Linked DNA regions of Alligator mississippiensis. The protein of the gene in region 1 purifies or fractionates together with the protein of each later gene. This does not show direct contact. Links are inferred from orthologs where the notes say so. Each region holds a gene or a part of one and is shown in the gene's direction. Other genes may lie near its edges.

The links. The genes of interacting proteins can lie anywhere in the genome.
Region 2: the proteins of RPP40 (region 1) and RPP25 purify together in Homo sapiens (affinity purification with mass spectrometry; 3 studies listed by BioGRID and IntAct, counting the BioPlex papers as one, with this or other methods). This does not show direct contact. The link is inferred for Alligator mississippiensis from reciprocal best matches to the Homo sapiens genes RPP40 and RPP25.

The regions. Positions count from the first base shown.
Region 1 is NC_081826.1:122,607,775-122,615,720, reverse strand, and holds the start of RPP40 (ribonuclease P protein subunit p40), read left to right. Parts: upstream 1-4,927; 5' UTR 4,928-5,015; coding exon 5,016-5,141; intron 5,142-6,938; coding exon 6,939-7,083; intron 7,084-7,946. UniProt on the Homo sapiens protein: Component of ribonuclease P, a ribonucleoprotein complex that generates mature tRNA molecules by cleaving their 5'-ends. Also a component of the MRP ribonuclease complex, which cleaves pre-rRNA sequences.
Region 2 is NC_081834.1:27,514,643-27,520,904, reverse strand, and holds RPP25 (ribonuclease P protein subunit p25), read left to right. Parts: upstream 1-4,415; 5' UTR 4,416-4,785; intron 4,786-4,948; 5' UTR 4,949-4,949; coding exon 4,950-5,609; 3' UTR 5,610-5,741; downstream 5,742-6,262. UniProt on the Homo sapiens protein: Component of ribonuclease P, a ribonucleoprotein complex that generates mature tRNA molecules by cleaving their 5'-ends. Also a component of the MRP ribonuclease complex, which cleaves pre-rRNA sequences.

The DNA.
Region 1 (7,946 bases):
CAAACCAGAATGCAAAGACATTAAAAAGTTCATTTTGTGCTTTACATTGCACCTCAGCTTTGACAAACCAGATCTGGTTTCAAAGCTGAAAAAAATATATGGAAGAAGCTGTTGCCTTCTGACAAGAAACTTTTCCAGATAATGTGAAGACTAGGAATTTCATTCCAAATCCTGTCATCTTTATAGAAAACAGAGTCAGTTCTTCACCAGTGCCAGGAAACATTTCACAAATCCTACCCAACTCCAAGCCATTACTACACTCTGCCTCAAAATGCTACTTCTTGATGACAACCTATAATTTTTTTCAAACACATAAAAACCAAACTGTTGTATTACCTAATTACCCAGATTTTGAGTGGAGACAGCTACCGAGACTGCGGTGAATTTCCAGGGTCTGAGAAATACAAATGATTTCATGTTTAAAATGCCCAATGTCACAATACTTAGAAACCTCACACCTAGCTAAACACAGAAATATAGTAGTCACTGTAAGGAAGTCAACATTTACAACAGTTACCATGCCCTGAGACAGCTTATATTTAAACATGAATACTCTGACATTTTAAAGACTATTGTATACATTGCAAAGGTTTTTTTTAATACACATCACTGAATCTGGTGACAATCAATGTGCGAGTGAGGGATAACAGTGATAGCTTGGCAGTTGCATCAGTCTAAGAATATAGCAATGAAAATTACAGGACTCTACTGAAATGGAGTAAAATATGCTCTGATCACCATCCCTAAAAAAACCCAGCTAGGCTCTGCCAGATACACAGCTCCAAATGGTGTTTGTCCAGACCCTGCCCAACACTTTTATTTTTCATTGAACTTAATTTAGCAACAGCAGAAAGCACTAATCCTCTCATTATTACCCCTCCACAAGATAAGAGCTGCACTGCAAATGAATGAACACTTTTCACTGTTGTGACAGAGCGTAAGTCGACTCATGTTCAAATAACGGTGCAAAGCTCATCTGTTGACACAAGCTTTGCCTGAAGGTCTGCAAATGCTGTATCTATATGCTGATAGTTGAATCTTGCAGCTGCATACTTTATTTAGTTGACACTAATCATCTAATTTTTATATTTTATAAATGACCATGTGAATATCAGCCAGAGGGAAATGAAATGTAACAGGTACATTATTTTCAAATTAGGAGCCTTGTAATTACACATGCAGTTGGCTTATTTGTAGAATTTAAACTACCCTTTAAAAAGGTCACTGAGCCAGTGACTTCCAAACCCTATACCTTAACAAAAATCTAGCAAACTGGAAGTGCTGAACCAATGAGCTCCAAGCAGACGGTGGTTGGCATCACCGCAGAAAGGTGTACTCATAAAGCCAGACACTTTACAGAGATCAGTCTTAGAATCAGCCAAGCAAGCCAGTACTGAGCTAGTGAATTCATAATGGCCTTGCACCTACTATCAAACCAGTAATCTATGGTTCTTCTAGGACACATATTAACCAGCCTCTTCAAATAAATCAGCAAGTAGAGTATAGGCGTGAGCCAGCAATATCAGAGACCAAGGCCTAGATCATAATATAGCTACAGACTGTACCAATGGAGCACAAACATATATGTCGCAGAGGCCTCAGCTTTGATATCGATTTGGCAAGGTAAAATGCTGAGCTACTAACCTTAGGGAGGCATGAGCCTTGACATGAGTTGAAGGTATATCTAAAGAGATGCAAAACTTCACATCAGTTCAAGAGCTATAACTTCTGTGATAGTTACCCAAAATATGTTTGTGGCTTGATATCAGTCCAGGAAGCCAAAAGTGCTGAGCCAGGGATGTCATACAGGCATCTATGGCATGATACCAGCAGGCTAGAGCCATTGAGAGAGCTGATCCTAATCGAGTTTTGTGCCTGGATACCAGCCCAGCACACTACAGTGGTATAGATGGTCAGCTCCCAGAAGCTCACGGTTCGTCCTTAGTCCAGCAAGCTGGAGGTGTTGAGCTAGTCAATTTACAGGAACCCAAAATATTTACATCAGTTCAAGCTATCACTTGGTGAGTGAGCTAATGAAGTCAGACTTGAGCTCTGACATTAGTCCAGCAAACTATATATCAGGTGAGCTAGTGAAATAACAGAGGTCTGACACTTTAGATCCATTTGGAAATGACCTAATTGTATCCTGTCTCTTAAAAACAGTGCAGCAACCAACAGGACTTTTTTTCTTGGCAGCCACCCAATTAGAGAAGTAAGCAATCATTCTCACATAGTCCTACGTGCTGACATGAGATAATAAAAGTTAGATGCTGTGCCATGACCTTCACAGTACTGTGGCTTAACTTTAACTTGATATACTAACATTGCTAAGGTAGCAATCTTACACAAGCTCTTGGTTATTCCTGGAGCAATTGTTGATGGACTATTATAAAACCTGTCTTCTTTCAGACTCAGCATTTACAGCTTCTATTATTTATGTATTGAAAAACTCTGGGAGACATTTGAAGATGAGTTGACTTGGTAGCTGTGATTATGGTCACTTCAGGTAGTTTGTACTAGTCTAAGCTGAAAGAGCAACCAGAATGACAGAAAACAAAGAGATGATGGCTAAGGAAGGAGGAAGAGTAAGTAGAAAAGGAAAAGGCAATTTACACATCCGTCATCTTTAAACAATCTTAGAAAAGTCATAATCATGCCTTCCTATACTACTACGTCTTTGTGGGGTAACTATCTCAGACTAATGTGAAGGCTAGGGTCTCTATGAAGCCTCTAACTCATCAGATATGGCTTAGACTGATGTCAAGGCTCAAGCCTACTTACGATTCAGCATTTCTATCTTGCAAGCCCAGTAAAATAGAAATGCAACATTTTTTAAATCCTGTCAAACTGGATGCATATGAGGAATACTCACAGAGTCTCAATGAGCCCAAATTCATAGATAGCTCAAAGAGTCCCAAAAATTCCCACGAGATTGTGATAACACCTGAGCAGAATCTATGTACTGGCCTGTCTTACAAGTTCTCAACACACTTCACAGTTTTCCAAGGTCCAGATATTTATTTCCTGTGTAGGATTATGAGTTGTCTGCCAAAGGGGCAGGTTGGTAAACTGCCTCCAGCACGTTTGACATCTTGTGGGTTGAGTCTTTACACCTCTAGCAGGGCCCTAACACATCCATTTTCGCTTCACACAGTCAAGATGTCTACATGCTTCAACACATCCCTCATTTGCTCAATATTTCCAAGGACCATCTCTCTCAGGATTCTGACTCTTCTCAGCAGGGCTCCTGAAATAGCAAGGAGAAAACATGCTTCCTAATTGTTCCAGTCATTTTTTCTGGTTCATAGGAGGAATCTTGAGTGGAAGACGTCAATTACCATTTCTTAATTGCTGTCTAGAATACAAGGCATGAGAGTACATGAAGGATGGCTCATTCATTATTAGTGCCTGCCTGAAGTGGCTGGATTAGGGGATATTATATTACTGTACTTACTGGCAGGAAAGGTAACAGCTGACATCCTACACTGATGTCCTGCCACTATCAATGTAGAAAGAGAAGTATCTACATTTAAGAGCGATGAATGAATCTTGTAGGATGTATTAGCAACACAGCTTTCTGTGGATGAGATGATTACCAGTGTGCCTAGGGGTTTCCTATGAGATGTAATGTTGTCAAAGCGTGTGAGAAAGAAAATGATGGAATTTCCTACAGCTTGTACCATTATCGGTGCTCATTGAGTGCGAGTGTGTGTTTGTGATGAGGGTGAGGAATTTCCCATGTGATGGTGTAGGAACCATGCTAGAAATACTTCTACTAATAATGTGCATGGTGTGAAAGGACTACAGCAAATGCAAAATCAATTATTTGATAATATTATCTATCCACAGTGAACTCACATTGTTTGTCTGTAAATAAAATGTTCTAGTGTAAACATAGCATATAGGCAAAGCAACAAAAAACTAGGCCTAACCATGGTATTGATCATGGAAGGAGTTCTACACTTCGTACACCAGTCTCACCCACGTTTTTCTGACACTGTTTTGCATTTGGCTAGGAGATTAACTTCTCTTTCCCTCACACTGATGACACAAAGTTCCTTTAAGTACCATGATACATACATTTTTAAAAAGTTTAACTCTCCATTGCCCAAAACCTTGTGTTTGAACACTCATCCAAAATCTCTTCCAACCATGCAGTTGGTCCAATAGAAGATCTCATTCCACCCCCCACAAAATAGCCTTAACTCTCGAGTGGGACAGGTGATGAATTAACTGTTTAGCAGGCTGCAGTTTCCGTGTTGCTAGCTTCTCTAGTGATTTTCTTCCGACTTGAGAACATTTTGTTTTACTTCCTCAGCTCCTGGAGACAGATGAGGATTTGAAAGTATCTCCTCAGCTTCATCAAGGCTTGTGGTTTTATCACAGCTCTTGCATCCTTTTTCCAAGTCCCCAGCTCCTGGAGTCTAGTGATTACATGAAAAACAGCTTTTTTTTCTTCTTCTTCTTAAAAGGAGATTTCTAATCTCATCAGTAACAAAAACAATGCTTGGGGCCAAGCTCACAGCCAAGATTTGGAAAATAATTAATTTAGACAAATCCATTAGATTGTAGAAGCTTTTCTTGCCCAAATGATGATGCCTCAGTGTTTGCCCCTGACAATTCTGCAAACCAGGAGGAACTAATACTTAGCGGTGTGGAGGGGGACAACACACAAATAATGTTTAAACGGTGCAGGACAACCTCTACATGAGGTTCCTAGCAGGCAGTCACCAGCTGACCATAAGCAGCAGCACTCCACCCTTCCTGCTTCTCCTCTGCCTCTTAACATGAGATGAAGGCAGACTGAGGGCAACACCTTCCCCAGGCAGCACTGAGCATGCGCACACCCCTCAGGCGCCTTCCACCCTGCAAAAGCCGGCCCCGGAAGTAGCTGCAGGGAGGCGGAGGAAAGCCGCCGGAAGTGACTTCACGAGCTTCTTCCGCCAGCCCCGGTTTGGTGACGCGGCTCGGCCCGGCTCCTGATTGCCGGCTGGGGGTTCCGCGCTGGCTGCAGCATGTCGGCGCCGCTGCGGAGGCTCCGCGAGACCCCGCGGCACCTGCTGGTCTGCGAGAGGAGCCACGTGCGGCACGAGCGCTCTCGCCACGCGGCGCGCGTGCGGGGCCACGCCTACAACTGCCGCGTGAGTGCGCCCGGGGGGCGGGGCTTCGCGGCGTGACGTCGCTCCCGGCTCGCCTGGGACTCGTTAGGGAGAGCAATTAAACTATTAATTAATTGATCAATCACACATTAAACCCGAGGGACCCCCACCGGTTAGGTGCAGGGATGCCCTTAATGCTCAGGATGAGACAGTGCCCTGAGCTTTGGGCTGGGTGCTCACCCAGCCTCTCCCCATTTTACAGATGGGAAAACTGAGGCACAAGGTTGTGTGGTCACCAGCTCACACTGCCTGTCTGCTCTTGCTGAGGGAGAGCAACGCATTGTTGTCATTAAACCCCAGGAAGGGTTCCTGTCCCTCTCTTCCTGGGTGCCCTTAATGCCCAGGCTGGGCTGTCCTGCCCAGAGCTTTTGCTTGCGCACTTGGCCCTCTCCCCATTTTACAGGTAGGAAGACTGAGGCTCATCAAGGTCCAAGCCTGCGGCAGAGCTGGGAGACGAGCCAAAAAACCAAACCCAACCCAAACTCAGCACAGGGTTTCTAGCCCAGAGCAAAGCAATCGCCCTCCCTGCCCGGTTGTAACAGGGCAGCAGGGGCACAGAGAGTCTCAGCCAGGGCCCCTGGGGCCGTTTTAGGGGGCGGCACAGCATTAGCACTGCTTGGCGGGCAAGCACCTGCAAGTGGGTGACAAAAATGTCATTGCTCCTTTAAAGCAGCCGAGACTTTGAATTTGATTGTCCAGCTAGGAAATAAGATTTTCCCAGTCTTAGGCTGTGATACCAGTGGCTCAAGGAAATTAATGGGAAACTATTGCTGATATAATTGACTTAAAGCATTTCTATATGTTTTTTCTTATTCTGTTTGGAGCAATTATGTTAGAGCTTGTTTTTATTTGTTGGATGTAATGTGCCTGTCACTTGGTTTTTACGTTGTTTTGTCCCTGCTCTGACATGAATTAAATCACCACTGCTGCCACCTGTTTTGAGTTAATTCCTGTGTGAAATGGAGCAACAGGTTGTCCATATTATCACCACAATAATTCTTTATATACTCTGAAGTCACTGTGTGGAGTTAGTATTGAAACCATGCCTGTGGTGGTTGCTGTAGCCTTGTGAATATGGCATTCACATAATAAAATGGGAGATTAAAACACAGATGCTTTATTTCTTTGAAGTTTTTTTTCTTTAAACACTAGCAAGTATGACAAGTTCAAGATATTGCAGTTGATTTGCCTAACCTTGCTTGGGTGCACTGCATCAGTCTTGATTACACTGCCCACAATATGAAAAGTGCACATTTCTGTAGTTTAAATTCAGGTATCTTCTTTATTTTCTGCTTCTCGACTCCGGTTTTCCCTCCTCCCCCAATTGAGAAAGCTGTTTTTACTTCTGTGTAGTGCTACACGCTATCCCAGCTTCCATGTTTGCTATCTGTTGCAAAGTGGATGTCCACTGATGTTTTCTCCACTGATTCCAGGATTGATTGGTATGCATATTGTTTCATTTAATGTTTTATAAGCATTTTGGAGAAACATCCTCAAGAAATATGCAGTTCCTCAGGGAAAGTCTTTCTGTAATTTATAACTAAGCTTAATCCATTTTTGGCCTGCAGGTTGCAGTGTTTCAAAGTTTCTGACACACAAATCATGTTGCAATGCTACATATGATATGCTGAATGAGGTTTTGAAAATTTGGCACATTAGGGAACCACCCAGATACAAGAACTCTGTGTTTTCTCTCTCTTTCTCCTCCAGCCCTGTTTTAGACCTTTCCTTATGTATGAGTGTAACATCTAATGTGTATTACAAATATGGTCCTAACAGGTGTCATTTTTGATTCCTGAATGTGGCGTGCTTCCAGAACCTCTGAAAAGTGTTACCACAGATATGGGAGAGTACTACCTGGTGAAGAATTTACCCCTTCATGAATTGGTTGCACAGGAATTTATCAGTGCATTTGTAAAGACAGGTAAAGGAGAGCTTAAAACAAATAAGACAAACAAATAAAAAGGTGTCATCTGTTCTTTTAATAATAAAACATGTTTTTGTTAGTTTCTGTGTGGGGTAGTCTTGGTTCTGAAAGTTATTTGTAAGCAGAAAGAGAAAAGTATTCGAGTAGAAATCTGTATCAGTCCCGTCATCTCCCTTTCTTTCTGTTCACTTATATATATACTTGTATAGCTGTCATAATGCAGAGGAAGAGGTTGGTAAAAGAAACAGTAAGAAAAGTGGACAGGGAGAGGAGAGGAGAGTCAGCAAGTCAGTGTGCATTGGCTTTTGTGTAATTGTTTTTCCTTGGGTTTTTTTTTTTTTATGATGGGAGAAAAAGAGACTTCTGTACTTCAGTTAGATTAATAGAGCTTTTTGGCTAGCACCCCGAGACCAGTGCTTGTAAAGGTACACTGTTTCCTGAAAGCATTTATTTTTCTGTCCTTTATAGTACTTTGTCCCTGCACACTTCTATCAGGAATGATCTTGAGAGCCACTAGTTAGAGAGTAATGTTTTAGGTCATTTAAAAGTAAGGATTCCAAGATTTCAGTTATTATTACTTTGTTTTCTTGCCTTAGAGAGTTTTGAGGTAAGAATCATTAAGTGGTTTTACAGATGAATGGGGGACAGTGAGATGTAAAAAGTTCCAGTTTGGGAGATGAGACCCCATTGGGAATAGCAAAAGGTGAACATGTGTAAGACCCATGGCATTTGTCATAAAAAGAAAGGGAAGGAAGACTATTGGCCTCTGTGTTCTAACTCATTTCCATTTGGGTATTCATGATCTGCCAGTGCAGATTTCCCTTATAATTTTAATTGGGTATTAGTTATGGTTTGCTTTG
Region 2 (6,262 bases), on another chromosome or scaffold:
TTCTCCAGCATCCCAGGTTGCCCTGCTCCCAGGTCCTGCCACAAGCAGGGACAATGCCCCTGTTCACCAGCCCTCTAGTGGCTGTGCAGGCAAGAAACAGTGTTAACCCTTAATGTGTAACTGCTCATAGCACATGTAAGTAACATCACTTACCATTCCACAGATGTAGTATGGTCTAAGTGTACCATGTAACTTCACCGTAAGTGTTTGCAGTAGTTGCCAGACTAGTTAAGGAGAACAGTTCAAATATTGTCCTTTACAATTAGATCGGTGGTGAAGATATCTCTCCATTGAGACTTTGCCCAAAGCCCTGAAGAGCTAATGCCAGCTGCGGTAAGCTGCAGGGGAATCTATGCTTCATCACTTGATGGCTGTAACCCAGGCATTGGGCTAGGTTTCCTAACACCTGGTGCTGCTTGTGACTTTCAATAGGAAATGGGCCAGTACACACACACACACACACACACACACACACACACGTACGTCAGGCAACCTCCTTTGTTGGGGCTTTATTTAATCACGGCAGGGTATTGATCCTGACCTTGACTTGGAGCACTGAGATAGCTGGTCCTGGGCTGGATCTGGCTGGCTAACTAACCAACAGCACAGCCAGACTAATTACTCACCTCACTGGGTGGCCAGGGCCCTCTGTTCTGCTCATACAGGGAGAAAATTGTGATTTATTGGAGACCTCAGTTACACCTCGTTTCTTGCCTGGCTCTGACAAGAACTTGGTCTTTCACTGCATTGGGCCCACCCTCCGCATGCAGGAGTGAATGATGCATCATACTGAAGCATTCAGATAGTTGAAGAAAGCAGCAGACCCCTAAATGTAATTATCATATGATGCCACATTACCCCTTGCCTCATCCCTTGCACCAACCTGCCAGGACCCTTCTCAGAGATGTAGAGAAGCATTTAATTGGATTTAAAAAAGCATTACAATATTTCAGGCACCTGAACCCCATTTATTTGAATGGCTATTAAGCCTACTAGATGCCTATTAACAATTTTGGGTGCCAAAATCCCTATGTGAATCTGGCCCTTGGTCCAAGGATTTTATGTTGAGATTGGAAGGAGGTTTTGATCTCAGCTTGAATGTTTTGTGAGGCCAAAATCTTCATCATTTGATGATGTCCGTGTTATATTTTATGAGCCATGAAGAGCAACCTTGCACTTTCAGTCCAAATGATTTTTATTGTCAATGGAAGGAAACAATAGGAGAAGAGAGAACAAACGTAAAGTCTCTGTGTCTTGCTGCATGTCACACTGCGGCCACAGAAACATGACATGGGAGCTGGATCACAGCTGCTCCTTCAGGGAGACTCCTCTTCACTTAACAACAGAGTTCCCTCCAAGAAGCGCTCAAGGAAATTTTCTGAGACAGGTGACTCATCTTCCCATCCAGGCAGAGCAGAAGCAGCCCTCTGGGCCTGCCAGCGCACCTGAACTAGAGTTGGCAAGAGTAGGCCTTTGTGATAAATAGTCTGTAATGTAGACAAGGCTTCTGAGGAGAGGACGTGGAGTGTGCACTGCGCAGTTGGGAGGGAGGAACCCTAGGAGCAGTTGGCCCTGGCCTAGCTGGAGTTATCCAGGTCTAGTCACCACGGCATCTTCTAGAGGAGATTCTGTGGAGAAGACTTTCCCTTGAAATGTTTCCCTAGATAGGCCCAGCAGCTATGAAGTCTTTAGAGCTGTTTCCCTCCCAGCCTCCCTCCCTCTCCAGCAGTCTCTCTCTCCTAAACAATCATCTATCTTTGTCTCTGGATGATTATAGATGAGGCGATAATTCACTCTGAACACTCAGGGAGGGTTAATTCGTTGAGGGGGGAGATTTACTGCCCTGCACCAGAGGGAAAGAGAAACAAGGGAAAGGCTCTGATGGAGTGACAGAGAAAAGGAGGAACGTGAAAGAGGAAAGATAAATGGGTAGAAAGTGAGTGAAAAGATGAATGCCCTGCATCCTCAGCTTGCATTTCACATTGAACTCACTCCATCCCCTGTTCGCAATGATCCAGGCTGGGACTGACAGCCCACACTGGAGTGGAGCATGGGGAGAAATTGGAAGAGGAGAACAAATTATATAGGAAAGAAGTAAAGAGGAGGGTAAAAGAAGAAAATGGAGGGAAAGTTAAAAGGGAGACAGAGGAGAAGGGGGTAGCTTGAAGGAAGAGGTAAAGGACAAGGGAAGGGCAAAGCAGCAAGGGGAAGTCTGTGGCCCAGCCTATCAGTCATATGGGTGCCAGTAGCTGCAGCCAGTGCTGGCGGGGGGCCTTGTGTCACCACCAATTGGATATTGATCCTCGCCTGCCTGGTGAAGCCACTGTTCTTCCTTCTTTATGACAGTTATTGAGTTCCTTTACTCCATCTTTTATGCAGCAGAGTGAGAACGCTCACCAGGCATCCAGCCCTGTGGCCTTAATTGCTAGTTGATGAGAAAGCCGCGATGACTGAATCATCACTGTCAGAGGCAGTGCCTGCCCATCTCCTTGTGTTCCTCTGCTCCTGGGATCACACATACTGCCCAGCTGATGGACTGGGATTGGGACCCAGTACCACCCTGTGCAGGGATGAGGCACCCCTCACCTAGAGTAAGGAGGGGATTCAGGCACCACCCTGTCTCAGCAGAGGAAGGGTAACCTGACCAGAAGGCTCCCCTGCCCCTCAGGAGCCCTTATCCAGTCACACATGGGTTCATTCCTCTCCTCTGGTACACTTCAGCCATCACATGGAAGCACTGTCTTCCCCTAGAGGGATAAGGACATGAGGGCAAGAAAGGTTTCTCCTCTGGTCTAATGCTAGACCCTACATCATGACCATTAGCCTCTCTCCTTCCCCCTCCCCTGAATGGGAGAAGAGTTCAATTTCCATGTTCATTCCTCTTCTCTTCACATTGCCTTAGTGTTTCTGAATGTCTAGGTTGCCACTAATGGGGTGAATGAGGCTTAGGGTGGGCCAGTCCCTCCCCTTCCAGTCCTGCTGCTGAAGAGGGGGCCTGGGAACCACAGAGGCCTTAAATGTGCTTGAGACTAACCTGAGATTTGAAGGCTGAGGCTCACAGGAGACTCCCCACTAGGGACTGAGGGATTCTCCTGCCCTCTAGTGGGAGTAGTGGTAGCAGTGGGCCTGTCTCCAGTCCTATAGACCAAAGGACTCTCTTCTTTCCCCTTAGGAGTGGTAGTAGAAGGCCTCCTCAGCTGCATTAAAGGCCACAGCAGAGGATGCCTCTCTCTCTCTCTCTGGGAAGGCAGGATGGCAGCAGGGGCACTCTGGCACTGTCTCCCGCTGCTGGGGTCCCTCTGCCTGGGCCTGGGCTGGGCTGCTGCCTTCTTTTCTTCCTGCCACACTTAGTCTGCTTGGCAGGGAGGAGTTCTCAGGGGCCCCAGAGCACCAGGTCTTGGCAAAGCTGAAGTGAGGCAATCTGGAGCTCTCAGCACATAGCAACATGTGGCTCCTCTCCAGCCACTCTGCCCTCACATATGCCCACCCCTCACTGTGTCTGGTGATGAAGGAGGAACTGCTTTTCCCAGACCCAGCGGGCTTTGAAGTGTGTGGGATCTAGGAGCTGGGTCCACTCAACAACAGGCCCAACACTTCCATCCAGAGAGGGTCCCGGGGTTCCCTGCACAAGGAGTCTCCCTAGTGACTCAGGAGAACAGGGGATCTACGAGTCTGGACACACTATATACCACCATCCTATATACTGGTTTTGTACTGATATAAATGATCCCAGGCTCTGGAGCAGACAGACGACCTGCTATCTCAGGGTAAGTGGTAACAGAAGTTGATGCTCTTACAGTTCCTGACCACTAGGTGGCAGGAGAACACGATTTGCCTTATATCAAGCAGCTACCCCAGGATTGCTCTGGACCCATAGTGTAACTTACCCCAGTGTCGTTTTAACTCTGATGTTTCCCCCAGGGTAATTCTACAAGGGCTTCAAGTCAGGCATTCCAGTGTAGGGCTGAACGCTGTGTGTCCGCTCCTTCCTGACACCCATGTACATGGGCTGATTGCACCCATGCAAATGGGCCATGTGTCCAAGCCCTGAAGGACACTACAATGAATACAACAATAAATCAGCCTGCACACATCAGCTTAATGAAGGGCCCTGCTCTGCCTGCAGGGAGCTTGGTCCCCTGGTGGGGATGCTCAGTGTCAGAGCTAACTCAGCCAGTCATGGAAAAGCAGGAGCAAGCAGCTGCCGGTACTTTGCTGACATTTGCATTTAGCAGTTAATGTCCTTGAGCTGGAGAAATCACCCAGGAGAAGGGGCCAGTTTCTCTTTAAGGGGGCAGGACTCTGGAAGCATCATGAAGAAAGAGTAGCTTTCCTTCTCCCCCACCTCCAGCCCCCCTTCCACTCCCCTCCCCCCCCCTTCCAGCTTCTCTTGGACTAGGGAAAAGTCAGACTCTCCTACCAGCCAGGGAAGTAGGGTTGGGGGGATGAAGCAGAGAGCTCTGTGCTGGGATGGGAGGCTGAGCAGGGGCGTGGGGTGAGGGAGGAGGAAAGCGGGGGAGGAGGAGAAGAGGGAGGATCTACTAATTACACAAAACAGCTCTGGGGGCTGCTGAAGTCCAGAATGAAGCACAGAGCAGCAGAAAGGAGTGCTGCAGTGGGAGCGGAGGAGCCCAGGCATTGCTAAGTGCAGGCACTGTGAGGGATTCCCACCCAGGGAGGATTCTGCAGCTCTGTCTCTTCTGGGGACTGACTGTCCAGCACAGCCACCACAGGGGACTGGTCAGGCTTCACCCAAAGTCCTTCTTCACCTGCCCAGCGAGAGGGGTGAGTAGCCAGTCGGCAGAAGTGGGATAATGGGGGAGCAGGACTAAACTTGCCCCTCTGCTTGCTGACCCACAGCTGAGGGAGTCTGGTACTTCCCCGGGAGCCTTTGCAATGGACATTGGGGTTTAGGTTCCTGACCTTGCTCATTTTCTCCCTGGGGAAGGATGGCTGCTGAAGGGGCAGAATCCAAGCCCATGCCTCCTGTCACCCAGTCCAGGATGGAGAACTTCAGGAAGGTGAAGACATCAGAGGAAGACAGCCCGCTGCCCTTTACTGGCCTGGCCCCTGATGTGGTGGAAATGAAGGTGAAGGAGGGCAGCAAGATCCGAAACTTGATGGGGTTTGCCATGTCCAGGATGGAGCTGAAGGGCACTCGGCAGATTGTCTTCAGTGGCTGTGGCCGGGCGGTCACCAAGACCATTACTTGTGTGGAGATCATGAAAAGGAAGCTGGGGGGTCTCCACCAGGTCACCAAGGTGCGCTACAAGACCCTGGTGGAAGTCTGGGAAAACAAGGACCCTCTGCCCAATGGCCAAGTGGAGACCCTGACTGTCCATAAGAATGTGCCCTCCATCTGCATCCTGCTCTCCAAGGACCCCCTGGATCCCAGTGAAATGGGCTACCAACCCCCAGAGCCCAGGGAAGGGCTCTGGCCAGAAGAGGAGGAGATAGAGGATGAGATATCCACTTCCTCCCCAAAGGGCATGAAGAGACCTTTGACATCTCCACAGGAGGAACTGAATAACAAGAAGTTGCAGGTACAGGTACCAGAGAGTCAAAAGGGCTCAGGGATGATGGACTACATGCTGGACTATCCTCACTGACTGCCCCACCTCCCACTCTGAGAAATAACCTAAGCCATACATAGTTTCTATAGAAATGAGATTCTATATTGAAGACACTCCAGATTTTTAGATGCTTTGTAATCAATAAAGGGACAATGAAGTCAGCAACTAGCTTGGTCATGAGTCCTGGTGGTCTTGGCTGTCCCCATGCTTACCTTCTTTCATAGACATGGGTAATCTTTCCCCCTTCCCTTCCCACACACACTCCTCTGCCTCTTTGGTAGTAGCAGGAGGAGGGCGAGCCATTTCCAAGCTGCAGGGAGTGTGGTGTGGACAGAGATACCCCTCCAATGGAAAGGCAGCAAGGTACAGGGGACAGCTCCTGGGCATATGGTTGCAGTGGGTTGGTGGTCATAATGGTGTGGGTACAACACCTTACACTGAGCTTCAGGTACCAGGTAAAGACTAAGTATCCTGCTCCAAGGAAAGTGCAAACTAAAAAGGAAAAAGGAGTATGATGGGGTATGCTCAAGGGGTGGGAAAGTAAAGGGGTGGCATGTGTGATTACTGATTGGAAAAGGTTAAACCTGCTAGCCACTGGATAAAGCCCAAGTGGCAGATTAACAGATGTGGAAATAGGGCAAGAGTCCCATATGGGAAGCCGGAGTGTGTGTGTGTGTGTGTGTGTGTGT